2 linked regions of the Nothobranchius furzeri genome follow. The protein of the gene in region 1 interacts with the protein of each later gene in a biochemical or structural test. Links are inferred from orthologs where the notes say so. Each region holds a gene or a part of one and is shown on either strand. Other genes may lie near its edges.

Region 1 (7,592 bases):
ATATGGACCTGTATTGGAATGTTTATTATGTGAAGAGCCTCGAGACGACTCTTTTTGTGATTTGGCGCTTCATGAATAAACTTGAATTGAATTGAATTTGTTTTTAAGGCCTTTTAAGGTAGAAATAAAATTGTTTAAGTAATTTAGAAGGAGAGGGTAGCTTCCCTCAGCCTTCGTGTGGGGGGATGGGTCCTGACTGTGGTTTGCTGCAAACTACAGCTCAGATTACCCACCCTTTTTGGAGTCCCCAGAGAGGGTGCCGGAGGGCGCTCCTTCTGGTGACTCCCTCGTTGTCCTGGGGGACTTAAATGCTCATGTGTGCAGCGATAGTGAGACCCAGAGAGGTGTGGTTGTGAAGAATGGTCCCCCTGATCTGAATCAGAGCTCGTCCATAATGAACACCAAGTTTAAGCATAAAACATAAAACCATATGTGCTCTTGAAGCGGAGCTGTCATCTGACCCCTACCTGGTGGTGAGTTGGCTTCGATGGTGGGGGAGGATGCCGGTCAGACCTGGCAGACCCAAACTTGTTGTGAGGATCTGCTTAGCTCCAATTCTCACCAGCGACAGAAATTCGAACATGTGCCAGGGGAGGCGCGAGACATTGAGTCCGAGTGGACCATGTTCCGTGACTCCATTGTTAAGGCGGCTGACTGTAGCTGTGGCCACAGGGTCATCGGTTCCTATCATGGCGGCTAACCCCGAACCCGCTGGTGGATACTGGAGGTTAGGGATGTTGTTAAGCTGAAGGAAGAGTCCTATCAGGTCTTTTAGCCTGTAGGACTCCAGAGGCAGCTGATGGTTATCACGCCAAGCGGAATGTAGCTCAGGTGGTCGCAAATGCAAAAACCCGGGCATGGGAGGAGTTCAGTGAGACCATGGAGCAAGACTCCCGGAACAGCTCTGCAGTATTGCGTGGACATCTGGGGCAGTTCCACTGGACTGGCCGACCGGCGTGGTGGTCCCCCTATTTAAAAAGGGGGACTGCGGAGTGGGTTCCAACTACAGGGGATCACACTCCTGAGTCTCACCGGAAAGGTCTATTCAGGGGTTCTGGAGAGGAGGGTCCATCGGATTGTTGAACCTCGTATTCAAGAGGACCAATGTGTTTTTCGTCCTGGCCGTGGAACACTGGACCAGCTCTATACCCTTAGGGGGTCCTGGAGGGTGCGTGGCAGTTTGCGCAACCAATCTACATGTGTTTTGTGGATTTGGAGAAGGCGTTCGACCACGTCCCTCGGGGGGCCCTGTGATATATGGGGTACCAGGCCCTCTGATACGGGCTGTTAGGTCCCAGTATGACCGATGTCAAAGCTTGGTCCGCATTGCTGGCAGTAATCTGGGCTCATTCCCGGTGAGAGTTGGACTCCACCAAGGCTGACCTTTGTTATCAATTTGGTTCATAACTTTTATGGAGGTGCAGCCAAAGTGTTGAAGGGATCTGTTTTGGTGGCCTAAGAATCGGGTCTCTGCTTTTTGCAGATGATGTGGTCCTGTTGGCTTCATCAGAACAGGATCTCCAGCTTTCGCTGGAACGGTTCGCAGCAGTGTGAAGTGGCTGGGATGAGAATCAGCTCCTCTAAATCTGAGACCACGGTCTTGAATCAGAAAAGGGTAGAATGCCTTCTCCAGGTGGGTGCTGCGTCTGCAGTGATGCGGGCGTTGTACCGGTCTGTCGTGGTGAAGAGAGAGCCGAGTTGGACGGCGAAGCTCTCAATTTACCGGTCGATCTATGTTCCTACCCTCACCTATGGTCATGAGCTTTGGGTAGTGACCGAAAGAACGAGATCGCAGATGCAAGCGGCTGAAATGAGTTTTCTCTGCAGGGTGGCTGGGCTCTCCCTTAGAGATAGGGTCATCTGAAAATTAAACACATTACATATGGTTCAATTAAGGGTAAATAAATAATAATGTTTGTGTAGATTGTCAGCAATACTTCTACTAAAGGGCCTGTATTTGTATAGCGCCTTCTTAGGGTTTGGCAACCCCCCAAAGCACTTCACAGCACAATCAGTCATTCACCCATCCACACACTGGTGATGATGAGCTACGATGTAGATACAGCTGCCCTGGGTGCACAGACGGGGGCGAGGCTGCCAAGCACTGGTGCCACCGGTCCGTCAGGTAAGGACATAACAGCAGCAATCCCTGGTGGGAGCCGGGATCTAACCCGCAACCTTTCAGTTACTGGACAACCCGCTGGTACAACAACAACTAATACTACTACTACTACTACTACTGCTACTGCTACTACTACTATTACCACTACTACCACTACTACTACTATTACTACTATTACTACTACTACTGCTACTACTACTACTACTACTATTACTGCTGCTGCTGCTGCTGCTACTACTACTACTACTACTGCTACTACCACTGCTACTACTACTACCACTACTACTACTACTACTACTACTGCTGCTGCTGCTACAGATGAGGAAACAGGGTTTCATCTTATTATGCTTTGAATCTGATTGGTGAATTCTGGAAGGAAAAACACAGAAATTGGAAAATTTATAAAATATTATTTTCTGCAACAAATTCCAATTAATATTTTATCTTTTATTTGACTGCTATTGTTGCTGTTGGAAAGTGAGAAATTTTGGTGAAAGAAAAAGTGAACTTTAAAAATAGGTGGAAGTGAGCGCACCTGTGGGGAATACATACGCGCGCTTACACACACACACACAGAGAGTATATATATTCCAGGTACTCTTCAGAATCTAATGAAATCAGAAAAATGGGTGATCCGAGGCACTCTGAGGAGCGTGTTTATTAGAGCAAGAAAAAGCCGACATCCTGTTAATGCCCTGAAGAAGGTCGTATGTGACCCAAACACATCAGCATTTTCATGCTCAATTAAAAACACTTCTCAGAGTGCCTCGGATCACCCATTTTCCTTCCTCATCCATATCCAATGAGAAAGCGAACTTTGAATGATAAATAAATTGTGTTGCAATATATGTTAAGTAGTAAACATTAAATACAATGATTTACTATAATTAGCAGTTTCAAATTTATTTATTAAAACAAATTTTTAGAACTTAAAAAATGCTTCCAGCAGGAGAATGGATTGGCTTCATGAGTGTACTAAACTGTTCCATCCATCCATCCATCCAGAGTTGCATCCAGAGGCGCAGACCTCGCTCTACCCAGCCACGGACAGCATGTGGCAGCAACACGCCACTGCGGCTCCTGTTCTACTCTGAGACAGAAACGAAGAACTGTGCTGCGTTTGGACCAACCAGAAGCTACAAGATTTTTCAACTTCGTTCTAACTAGAGACATATAAAAAAAGGCGCAGTCGTATTCATACATCACATAGGGTTTATAAGCTATGCTCCGATAGCATATTAAATAAATAAATTGAATTAATAGTGTGTTTTGTGCTTTCTGCGCTCTCGTGTCACCTATCTACACAAATCAACTCACTTAATTCGACGAACTTCCTATTATCGAGGAACGGCAAACGCAGCATTATGTTGTCTTGTATGAGCCCTACCATCGTTGGTGAGTCCCCATGTCCCCTGGTGTTGATGTTACTCATTTAACCTTGTGTGGTTTGATGCTCACCAGTACAATAAACACGTTTATGTGTGTGTGGTTTATACACGCAGACGGAAAGATTAGCGGCGTTAGCTAGGAGCTAACTGACGATGTGAGCAGCGGGGGGGCGGAGCCTACAGTTGGCGTGATAAAATGAACCGGGTCCAAACATCTCTATTTATAGTGGTTAACTTGGACACAAGCATGTTTCTGCACAGCGTGTATTTTTCTTCACACAGAACGGTGTTCAATAAACAACTTACAACAGGGGGTGCACATCTGGGCAGGCATGCTCTTTTCGGCACAACACCTGTCCTAACAGACTCTGTTTTCCCATCATGAGTCTGCCTCAGTTCCTTACAACTTTATTTTAATACATTTCCCAAAGATGTGTTACACAATCTGAAGGGTTTAAGATAAACCCAAGTGTTTTACATGTTACTGCTACAGTTCTTTATGATGGTAGTTTGTTTAGGTTCTAAAACCATTTAAAATATGGTCAGAAAAAGCACACTTCAAACGTCATCTTCCCTGAAGAATCTCTTTTCTCTAAACCTTCAGCCTGAGCTTTGGACAACCAGCACCTGATCCAAGGTTTGAGTCACTGGGATTCACCAGACTGGTTGTCTTTCTACCAAAGGAGGTTACCCAAAGGTGTTTAAGGTGCATTATACAAGAAGGAAGTAAGAATGACGTCCCGTGGTCACATGTGGGTACTGCAGTCCATTTTTATAAATAAAACGAGACCTTTTCACTGCACATGAGTTTCAAGGCTGTATCCAGTTACAGATCAGTGCCAAAAGATTCTAGATGATAAACAAAGATGAGTCATACACAGAAAAAGCATTAATATAAGAAGACAACCCATCCAAATTGTCCTTTAAGTTTCACTTTAATTTATTTAGGAAGTACACAATTAAAAACTTGTTTATATTGTGAATATACTTAAAAGTAGCAGCGTTGCTCTTATTTCAAGTTGTTTACTCCCTCAGTATGCAGCTGTGAGCCGTGTTCACATGATGGAGCGGGCAGGCGGAGCCTTCGGCAGTCAGGGTAGCTTTTCTCTGCACAACACCGGTAGCTCCAGCGAAGGAGAACTAGAACCTCCATGTTTTGCAGTCTTTTGACAATTTCTGTTTGTTCATTAGTGCAGCTTTCTCTTTTGGCTGGCTCTGTGTTTTTGTCTGACTTCACTGTGACTGCTGGAGGTACACTGGGGGTTCATGGAGACCGGTGATTTGCTTTTTTGATGCCCGAAGGGAAAAGCCAAAAGTAGCTTGTTTGAAGGCAGCGAATGATGGAGCTGTGTCCAACATGTTGAATGCTCAGTTGCACACATTACAGGTGTTTGTAGCTGTGCCTTTGCTGTCCGGTTTAAAATACCACCAAGGTGCAGATATTTTAGCTCTCCTGAGGAGACGCGTTAGCTCTGTGTTAGCAGGTTTGCTAACAGCGGCACTTGGTGTCTGAGTCCTTGCCTGCCATTAATTGTGTGACGTTACTGTGTTGTTTTCATACAAGAAACAAATATTATTAATGTAGAGGGACTTATTGAGATTTAAACAAAGCCATTTTTATTCAATTTGAAAATCTCAGGATGAATTTAAAAAGTCATGTTTGCTGTTTGTTTTAAAAGGTTAAATCCGATTTTTTTTCTCCCGATTCTGATCCTTCCAATCAAAAACGTGATCGGGTCCGATTTCCAATCGGAAATCAGATTGGAGCATCCCTAGCCTAGTGAACTAGACCAAATTCTTGCTTTGCAAAGTTTGGTCTAGGCATGCTCCATTGGAACCTCTGCAGCTCCTACCAGGACTCTGGCTAGCCAATCACAGCTATCTAGAGGGGTTTCAAACACATAAAGAGCTGTGATTGGTCCATAATGGTGGGCCAATCATAATGCTCTATCTGCTTAGTGAACAAATCACAGAGCTTTATCCGCTTTGTGGGCCAATCAGGGCACTCTATATGCCTGGTGGGTGGGATGATGCAACAGAGTGAAACAAGAGTACGTCACATTCATTGTCCAGTGGAATGCGGAGATCATTTGAAAGACAACGGTAGAACCCGCCCCACAACAGAGAGCCGTCAATGGAGCGTGGCCAGACTAAATAATACATTTATTTAGTCTGGCTTGCCAGGCTAGAGCATCCCTAGTTTTTATGGCTGTTTCTAAGCAACTGTTTAATAAACACTCCGTAATCTGTTACCTAATTAAAAGGGATTGCGGTAAACTCCAGTATTGTCTGTTTCAGCTCCTGTTTTAAGCCGTTGATTACTGATCCACTTCTGCCGCCCCAACTTGGTCGCTTTGCTCGGAGAATAACTTGTTGCTCCATCCCAAGGTCATGTCTGAAGACGAGGGGAGATGGGGCTTTCTGCGTGGCTTGACTGAAGCTCTGGAATGCCCTTCCACTAAAAGTTAGGGCCTCTACTTCTGTGGTGGTTTTCAAAGCAAGACTGAAGACTCATTTCTATGATCTGGCTTTTCACTAGTCTTATTCCTTTACGTAATCTGACCTTGTTTTATTCTTGGTTTCTATCTTGTTTTAGCTTGTTTTTAGCTCAGTTGTTTTTTGAATGTTTTTAATCGATATTGTTTTGTAAAGCACCTTGGTGGCATGCCCTCGTCTGTGAGGCGCTATATAAATTGAAGCCAAGTTGAGGTAGAGCGGGTTGTCCAGTAATCGGAAGGTAGCAGATTCAATCCGGGTTCCGGACAGAGAATACCGCTGTCGTGTCCTTGGGCAAGACACTTAACCCACCTTGCCAGCTGATGGTGGTCGGAGGGACCGGTGGTGCCTGTGCTCTGTCTCTGTAGGTGTGCCTCAGGGCAGCTGAGGCTACTTTGTAACTCATCACCATCAGTGTGTAAATTGATGAATGATACTCTGACTTCAAAGGCCCTATACTGTCACGAGTTGGTGTAGGAGGATGATTTAGGACCCAAGATGCAGATACCAGATGAACGAGGCAGAGGTGGAGGATAAAGTAAAAATCCTTTATTAAGGTAGTAGTCCAAAGGCAGGGAGCCAAAAACCAAAAAATCCAAAAATCTAAACTGAGTCATCAAAAACACTAGAGAACTAGAAACACTGGAAGCTAGGAACAGGTATGAGACAAGACTGACAAGAATCACCAAAACACCGCTGACAAACAACAATGGACCGACAAGACACTGAGACAAGACCGGGCTTAAATAAACTGGGGCATGATGGGAAGCAGATGAGCTGCAGGTGTGTGGGGAGAGGACCAGGTGAAAGCAATACTTAATCAGGGAGGGAACTCATATGACCTAAGAAAAAACCTAAAAACAAGAAAAGCAACCACATAACTAATATTCTAAAGGGAAGGAGAACTACAAAGACTGGTGGGACAAAACATATAAAAGAGACTAATAAAATGAAAAGCTGAAACTATAAACACTGCAGAGGGATGACTGGAGAAGACTTAAAGGAACACAGGACCTGAGAGATATATTTGGAAGGCTGAAGACCAGGGGACAAATGAGGAACACAAAGAGACACATAAATGAGATGCAGACAAAGGACACAGGAGGGCGCTATGAAACAAAAGGAGAACCTGGAGTGGGAACTGGAGGGGCTGGGGAACAAAGGGACACAGAACATAACATATACAAGTGCGGGTGGCTTTGTCCGGATTAAAGTGACTGTAATAACCGTAGACCGCTAGAATTGCGGAAGTTTAATACCCAGTCAACAAAGTAAGTTGCGTTCTGTGCAGCGCCGGCTGCTTCTTGACCCCCATCTGCATTTAGTGACGTAGATGCAACATCATGTGAAACTCAGAAATGTTGAAGCGTTGTTTGCTGCTGAGGGACTCTTAAAGAAAGTAAAACGCCACAACTGATTTATTATTCACTTCACACATACATTTCACTGTAATATTCAGTTGTTATTGTAATTGTATGCCATTGTGACCATTGTATTGTAATTGAAAAAGTAGCTTGAGCTATTTTTAGAACGGCCTACTTGCTCCTAATTCATCGTTAGCATTTTTAGCCCAACATTAGCCTCTA
Region 2 (7,644 bases), on another chromosome or scaffold:
GGATCTGACAACATACTAGAGCTGAAACAACTAATCGATTTAATCGATTATAATCGATTATTAAAATAGTTAACAACTTTTTTAGTCATCGATTAGTTGTTTAATAATCATATTTTACCGCATAAAGTCTATTTTTTACCACAATCTGACATCGGTTACAATCTGTTAAATTTGCCGCCAGTGTGTGGCAGTAATGAGCCACTGATCTACCAGTGGGGCCGTAGAAGAAGAAATTAGCCAATAAGTGCCCTCGGTTTTCATGACGTATCACGTTACTGACGCGCATCTTGCTGTGAGAGATGGCGGATCAACAACAAATACGGAAGAAAAATAGAAGCGACAAAACAAGAGAAACCCCGGACAAAAACCTCACGAGTATGGGAGCACTTCACTAGATGCCTTGAAAAGACCGGTGACCTGCAAAATATGCAAAAACCATGGCACGACGGAAGCACGACGTCCCTAAGTGAACATTTGAGATGAAAACATGTGGGAGCTGATGCAGCAGAGGAAAGTCCGGTAAGTAACAGAAAATAAACAAGCTAACGCAGATCACATTTGGGACTTAGTGTTAGCTGAGTTCGTTATAGTGGATGTTAAACATGTTTTTTTTTTTTTGCCGCGTCAGTCTACGGTGTTCTACTTCTGATTGACTAGATGCAATCGTGAATCTCCTCCGTGTTGTGAATCATGCGCTTGCCAAATTTAGCACGTCTGTTTATAAGAATGTTCTCGTTAAGAGAAAAACGGCACAAACCCATAACTGTGTTCCTCATTCAAAAAAGGACAACTCCGCGGAGAAAAATATACAGACGAGCTGTGTCCAGGTGAATATAACGCGGCATAGTTGTACGCTTTCAATTTTTAAATACAGGAGAAATTCAGAAAGTCCTTTTTTTAACTATTAAAAGGCTGTTTTACTATCTAACGCTGTAAAACGCCTCACAACACATTTTTGTCAAAATAAATGATCACTGTATATTGTTAATTAATTCAAATAATGTAATATTGATTTAGTGTTGTAGTGTGTGTGCTGCTTTATTTTATATGTGTACTTAATTCAGTTTATTTGTGTTTCTTATGCAGAAAAAAAACAAGCAACGATGGACAACTACATGGGGAACAAGACACTCACCCCCAGCAATGCATACCACTTACAAACTCTATTCCAGATTCTACATTATTTTTTATGGAATTTACCTCTTATATTTTGATGCCAAAAAATTATTCTGGACTGATATTTTGCACTGTTTAGCTCATTTTACACTGCTGACTGTGGTCATGTGCAATAAAATAGATTGCAGTCAACTGCACAATTCTCTTATGTTTTTCTTTTTCTTAACTGAAATGTATTCATCACTTGTATAGGTTAAATAGCTTAACAATAACAAACCGATTAATCGATTAATCGAAAAAATAATCGACAGATTAATCGATTATGAAAATAATCGTTAGTTGCAGCCCTACAACATACCTCCATTATTTTTATTATGATTCTACAGCATAGGGTCTAAGAATTTCTCCAAACTCAATCCTGATGGGAGAACCTTGTTTTGCACACTCACTCCGTGACTGGACCGGCAGGTTCTGGTAGCAGCTCTTCTCTGCTTTTATAGCAGCCGTATCTGACCAGCTTTTGCTAATGTGGAAAATCAGTTGATGCCTGCGTGCATTCTTAAATAATTCCTGCATGTGAAAACGACTTTTGATTTAGTTCTGTTCCTTGATAGGCCCGTGCATTTTAATTGACATCTGCATTAATTGTAGTGTAATAAAAATAAAATATCCCATAATTTATATTCACATTAATATACACTGATTTATGCATGTAAAAATAAAAAGGAGCTGTATCATAAATCATAGAACCCCTAAAATTAATATTTGACACATTTATGTTTAATTCTTTTTTTAAATCCTTTGTAAATATACTAATCTGAGCTCCCAATATGCATAAAATCAAGTGTGAACGTCTTACTAACTCGACTTGAACCCACTATTTTGATAAAACCTATTAAAACCTGTGTTGTACAAACACACCTTAGATTCTGCTCAGGTTACAGTCTTAATTTAAACAACAATATGATGTGAGTGTGAAGTATTCATCAGTACTTACTGTCCTTCAAGGTAGCCATGTTCCTGACCTGCCCACTGTAAACAACAATAATGCATGTGAGCAGACGCTGACGGGTTAACAACATGGTAAAAGGTCATTAACAAGTCTAGGGTTATGACCCGATGCTAACTGCTGTTAATTAAACACGATTTAACATTAAACAGGCAGCTATGCTAGCATTAGCACCTAGCCGGCTATGGAAATCCATTCGCACCGCCGTCATTCATCAGCCGCGGCCTACATGCTAGCACGTCCTTCCACGCAAAAGATTGCCCGCGTTACAACGTAGAAGCTGCCCACTCACTTCAAACAAGCCAAATCAATGAATTCATTAATAAAAGCGCAACAAGAGCAGTTGTCGAGGTATATTTGCGTTACCATTGTGGGGAAAAAACCAACGCGCTGGTCCTGGCGAACATGTTACCACTATGAAGGTCAGACACGCAGAACTGCGCAGGCGCAAAGAAAAGTCGGTGGTAACGGAGGTTGCCTTCAGTGAACTCTGGAAATTGTATTCACATCAAAATTCAAGGGAAATGCCGTAAGAAGCCTTTTTTAAATCACTGTTTTTGTGTGTTTTTTTTTTTGTTGCCAGTGTCGCACAATGAGAAGTTCAATAACTTCAATAATAAAAGCGAACATAATTATCAAAAAGCTATGTTCATTTCATTTTCACAAACAGTTATAGAAAGTCATTTGCCTTTTAAACAGGAAAACGTTTAGCCAAGTGAACTAGACCAAATTCATATATACAGGATAGCTTGCCATGCTAGAAAAATGTTTGGAATGTCTAGTAGAAATTAATCCTTGGTCTCAGACTGATTAACCTGTAAAGTTTACATTAATTTAAATTGAATTAATAAATGCTTGTTTTTTGGTGACTCAAATGTGGCGTCTATTGAATCCGATTAATTAATCATACAAATTTCAGTTACAACGAGTTTAAATGATATACGTAATTAATATTATTTAAAAATTACGAACAGTTCTTGAATGTTACACCAAGTATCGCGTGATTCTACGGTTTTTCGCGAGGTTAGAAGACGGAAACGGTTTGTCAGTTGTGTACTAGCAGCAGTTGATTGTTCTGTCGAATTTTTAGCCTTTAAGCGAGTGTTTTTTGCTGCAGTTGTTTGGTTTTAGTTTTCGCCATGGGAAAAGCAGATTTTCTGTCGCCGAAGGCCATTAGCAACCGAATAAAATCTAAAGGTCTCCAGAAGTTGCGGTGGTATTGTCAGATGTGTCAGAAACAGTGTCGAGATGAGGTGGGATTTTGATGAAATTCGACAAAAATGGTGTTATTCTCGATAATGGACGAATTAAAGTATTTGTTTCTGCCTTTTTTATTTATTTGTTTAACAGAATGGCTTCAAGTGCCACTGCATGTCAGAGTCCCATCAGAGACAGCTGCTGCTAGCTTCAGAGAACCCTATGAAGTTCATGGACTACTTCTCAGAGTCAGTTTATCACAGACGTGATGTAAAGACAAACACATCTGAATGTTTTTAGTAAAATGGAGCACATTTGTGTCGCTTCTCTTACAGTGAGTTCAAACGTGACTTCTTGGAGCTGCTCAGAAGGCGTTTCGGTGAGAATTGTGAACCATCTGCAGATGTGTCAGGGACATCTTTGTTCTGATTGTCCTCTTCGTTATCAGGAACCAAGAGAGTTCACAACAACATTGTCTACAACGAGTACATCAGCCACCGGGAGCATGTCCACATGAACTCCACGCAGTGGGAAACTCTCACCGACTTCACCAAATGGCTCGGCAGAGAAGGTAAAACGTCACTGATCAGAAAGCATCTGGGATTTTACAGGATCTCTGTCCACTTTCTGGATTTTTGTCTCCGTTACAGATGCTGTAAAAACAGGCAGAAATGAGGAAAAGAGACCAAGAAGTTGGGATTTGTAAATAAAATTCTCTGAACTGAAAATCAGACGGACAACTTTAAAAATATAGTTCATATTTTCATGATAATTTCTATAATTTGGAGAATATCCTTCAAATGAATATCATAGCCTCCTTTTTATTTAACAGTTTTTCAGTTTATCATTTGTAAAAAAAATTTATTTTTCCTCTAAATCAATTTGCAGCTACTTTAAGCGTCGGATTAGGAGTTGGTTTTGTCTACTTACTAATAAATTTGTAAAGTTTCACATCAAATCGTGAAACTAAATGCACCTTTGGATCGTCAGGTTTGTAATAGTGAAAAGAATTTCTGCTGATCTGTTGGAAATCACCCTCAGGTTTGTGCAAAGTGGACGAGACCCCTAAAGGCTGGTACATCCAGTACATCGACCGTGACCCAGAGACCATCCGGCGCCAGGAGGAGGAGGCCAGGAAGAAGAAACAAGAGCTGGACGATGAGGAGCGGAGCGCCAAGTTCATCGAGGAGCAGGTCCGCCGAGGCCGAGACGGAAAGGAGACCGACGTGAGTGCAACAGGAAGCTGAGACCGAGCTCGGCTGCGTTCAACAAAAGTAATGCTTCTTTTTACATATTCTGCAGGAAGATCCGGTTTACACTGAGCTCAAACGTGAGAACGAGGAAGAAAAAGGTTGGTCCTCTTCTCTTGTGCAGTCATAGCTTTAGCTACAAATGTGTTTTTGTACTAAACTTCTTTTCCCTTCCAGTTGCTTTCAACCTCAGCGCTCCTGTAGCTTGCTCCTCCAAATCAGGGTACGGATCACCTCGTTGTCCTCCACATGACTAAATCTGGGGAGCGTTCTGCCTCTGATTACCTCTTTGTGTCTGCTGCTAGCTCTGCTCTGAGTGCCAGTGCTCTGAAAGCATCATCATCATCATCCTCAGTCAAACGCAAAGATGCACCCTCCAGCTCCAACTCCAAAACAGAGAAGAAGAAGAAATCTGCACTGGAGGAGATCATTGAGGTTGCGTTTGGTGTATTTGTTTGTTTACCGTTTGGTAATCAGACGTTCTGATGTGTGGTTTGTTTGTTTTTTCCAGATGGAGGAGAGGAAGAGACAGCACTCCCCTGCTGTCAGAACCGATTACTGGCTGCAGCCAAACATCGTAGTTAAAGTCGTCACCAAGAGGCTGGGAGAGAAGTACCACAAGAAGAAGGCCGTCGTCACGGTAACAAAGTGATGTCTTTATTCCAGTTGTTTCAAAAGTATTCGTTGCTAAACTTGTTCTGGCGGCAGGAGGTCCGAGACAAATACGCCGCTGTGGTGAAGATGATCGACTCCGGCGACAAGCTCAAGCTGGACCAGAACCACTTGGAGACGGTCATACCCGCCCCAGGTCGGCCATGTTTTTAACCCAAGGAAACGTTCTAAATCACTGGATGTGAAACTGTTGATTCCATCGTGAAACGTTCTACAGGGAAGCAGGTTCTGATCCTGAATGGTCCGTACCGGGACACGGAGGCCGTCCTCGAGGGGATCGACGAGAAGAAATTCAGCGCCAAGCTCACGCTCGATTCTGTACGCATTAAAACGGCTTCATGCCCAAGTTTCACCAGATTTCATTGTTTAATTTTAAAGTGGTTTTGATCTTTGTTCTCGATCAGAAAATCGGTTCATTAATTTGATTTTCAGCCTCTTAACTCAGATCTGAATCGTTCAAGCTAACCTAGCCTCCCTGTTAACCGTAGTTGGTCACAAACACATAATTAGTCGTACTTTTTATTTGGTACACCTGTAAGAAGGCTAAACACAGCGACGGTGGCACAGGAGGTAAGTGCTAGCCCCGAAATCGGAAGGTTGCAGGTTCGAGCCCCGCTCAGTCTGTCGCTGTCGTTGTGTCCTTGGGCAAGACACTTAACCCACCTTGCCTGCTGGTGGTGGTCGGAGGGACCGGTAGCGCCTGTCCTCGGCAGCCTCGCCTCTGTCAGGGCGCCCCGGGACAGCTGTGGCTACATCGTAGCTCATCCCCACCAGTGTGTGAATGTGTGTGTGAATGGATGAATGACTGATTGTGTTGTAAAGCACCTTGGGGGGTTCCAGGACTCTAGAAGGCGCTATATCAAATACAGGCCATTTACCATTTATAGAAAGACTCACAAAAAGATGTCATTTGGCTCCAAACGTGATGTTTTTGGGGTTGATTTTTTATTTCCTGTTTCACAGGGTCATCAGAAAGGAGAGAGAGTGGACGTCGCTTATGAAGATTTTTCCAAGCTAGCCTGAAGATGAAACATCTCGAGTCGTAGAACTGAGGGACTCTACTGTGTCAGAGTTCATTCCCAGATGCTTTTGTACAAAGACACTTTCAACAACCAACTAGCTTCAGAAATCAAACCGGTTTAGAAGATTATGTTGAATTTGTTTGATTCTTTTAAAAAAAACAATTTGATATTTTGTTTAAAAATGTAAATTTTGTTCAAATAAATGCAATAAATTTGCTTTCTGCTTTGTGGAAAAACCCAGGTGACATCATTAGGAAACACATCGTGGATGGTTGTGGGTTTTTAAGGATGTGTGTGTTCAAAACATCTGGAGGAAGCTGTTCAGATCTGGAACGATGTATTGGCTGTAATGTCCGTCGATGAATCCCTTTCCGCTGTTATGGATGAACCAGCAGAAGATGTTGGACCCATGCTTTCGGTCACGTCTGTAGTCTTTCTGCCAGCCCCTGACACACACACACACACAGATTTAGGCTTGCAGGAAGTCTTCACCATCTTGTTTTTGACGTGTGATGGAGTACCTGGTGACGAGCAGCTTGTTGCCCTTCACCTCCATCGTGGCCTCCTTCTTCAAGGGGTCGGCTCCTTCGTGGATGTCATACAGACTCATCTCAGGTTCTTGTGAAAACTGCCCTGTGACATCACAGTTTTAGTTTCAAACTTTGGTGAAACAACTAAACAGTTTTCTGTCATAACTTATAACATTTGATTTTAGTTAATGTACCACTAGAGAGCGCTATAATTCTTTAGATCCACAGAATTAGAACTGCATGATAATTCAGTAATTCAATCCATCTATCAATAAACATGTGGTGCGATAGAAAATAAAAATGGGTCAATAAAAAAAGTTTCCTTTTTTCATTATAACCTATCACGTAGCAGCATGCTAGACTCACTACTTGCTCCTAACCAATCAAAACCACAGACTGGGGCACGCTGCGTCACCAGGCCCTCCCCTCTCAAACCAAAACAACAGGAGGCAGTGAGAAAATGGCCAGGGCTGCTCGTAAAATATTTTAAACTATTTTAAAAATGTTTTTCAATAATTATCGATCAATATAAATTTTTTTATCAATATACTTTATTTCTATATTGTCCAGCCCTACTGCAGAGCTAAGTCTTTGCTAGCGCTATGGTTGTCGATTTGTAGGCTAAAAAGCTCCAGACGTCATGTGACTCAGAGTAGACGCCATGTTGGCAGGCAGCAAAGGTAAACAAAATGAACGGGATCGGCTTGGATTTTACTCCGTCAGAGTTTACTTCACACTTTAAAACCGAAGAAATCGTTTTATATAGTCAGAAATTAAATAGACTAAACATCTTCGACCCTTACCGTGCCCCTGGGATACTTTTTAAAAACGCCAGAAGCTGTCGGAGC

Evidence for each region. The genes of interacting proteins can lie anywhere in the genome.
Region 2: of the proteins of mettl22 (region 1) and kin, one has a biochemical effect on the other in vitro, tested with the Homo sapiens proteins (2 studies listed by BioGRID). The link is inferred for Nothobranchius furzeri from reciprocal best matches to the Homo sapiens genes METTL22 and KIN.

What each region holds. Positions count from the first base shown.
Region 1 is NC_091758.1:12,613,509-12,621,100, forward strand, and holds the start of mettl22 (methyltransferase-like protein 22), read left to right. Parts: upstream 1-3,410; 5' UTR 3,411-3,517; intron 3,518-4,114; 5' UTR 4,115-4,216; exon of another isoform or gene 4,217-4,262; intron 4,263-7,592. UniProt on the Homo sapiens protein: Protein N-lysine methyltransferase. Trimethylates KIN at Lys-135 (in vitro).
Region 2 is NC_091741.1:35,927,310-35,934,953, reverse strand, and holds kin (DNA/RNA-binding protein KIN17), read left to right. Parts: upstream 1-3,133; 5' UTR 3,134-3,264; coding exon 3,265-3,378; intron 3,379-3,475; coding exon 3,476-3,570; intron 3,571-3,657; coding exon 3,658-3,701; intron 3,702-3,770; coding exon 3,771-3,893; intron 3,894-4,363; coding exon 4,364-4,548; intron 4,549-4,624; coding exon 4,625-4,673; intron 4,674-4,749; coding exon 4,750-4,795; intron 4,796-4,877; coding exon 4,878-5,007; intron 5,008-5,083; coding exon 5,084-5,212; intron 5,213-5,280; coding exon 5,281-5,380; intron 5,381-5,461; coding exon 5,462-5,562; intron 5,563-6,167; exon of another isoform or gene 6,168-6,207; coding exon 6,208-6,267; 3' UTR 6,268-6,502; downstream 6,503-7,644. Other genes in the region: atp5f1c (ATP synthase subunit gamma, mitochondrial), read right to left, coding at 2,114-2,148, 2,492-2,532; itih2 (inter-alpha-trypsin inhibitor heavy chain H2), read right to left, coding at 6,565-6,712, 6,788-6,899. UniProt on the Homo sapiens protein: Involved in DNA replication and the cellular response to DNA damage. May participate in DNA replication factories and create a bridge between DNA replication and repair mediated by high molecular weight complexes.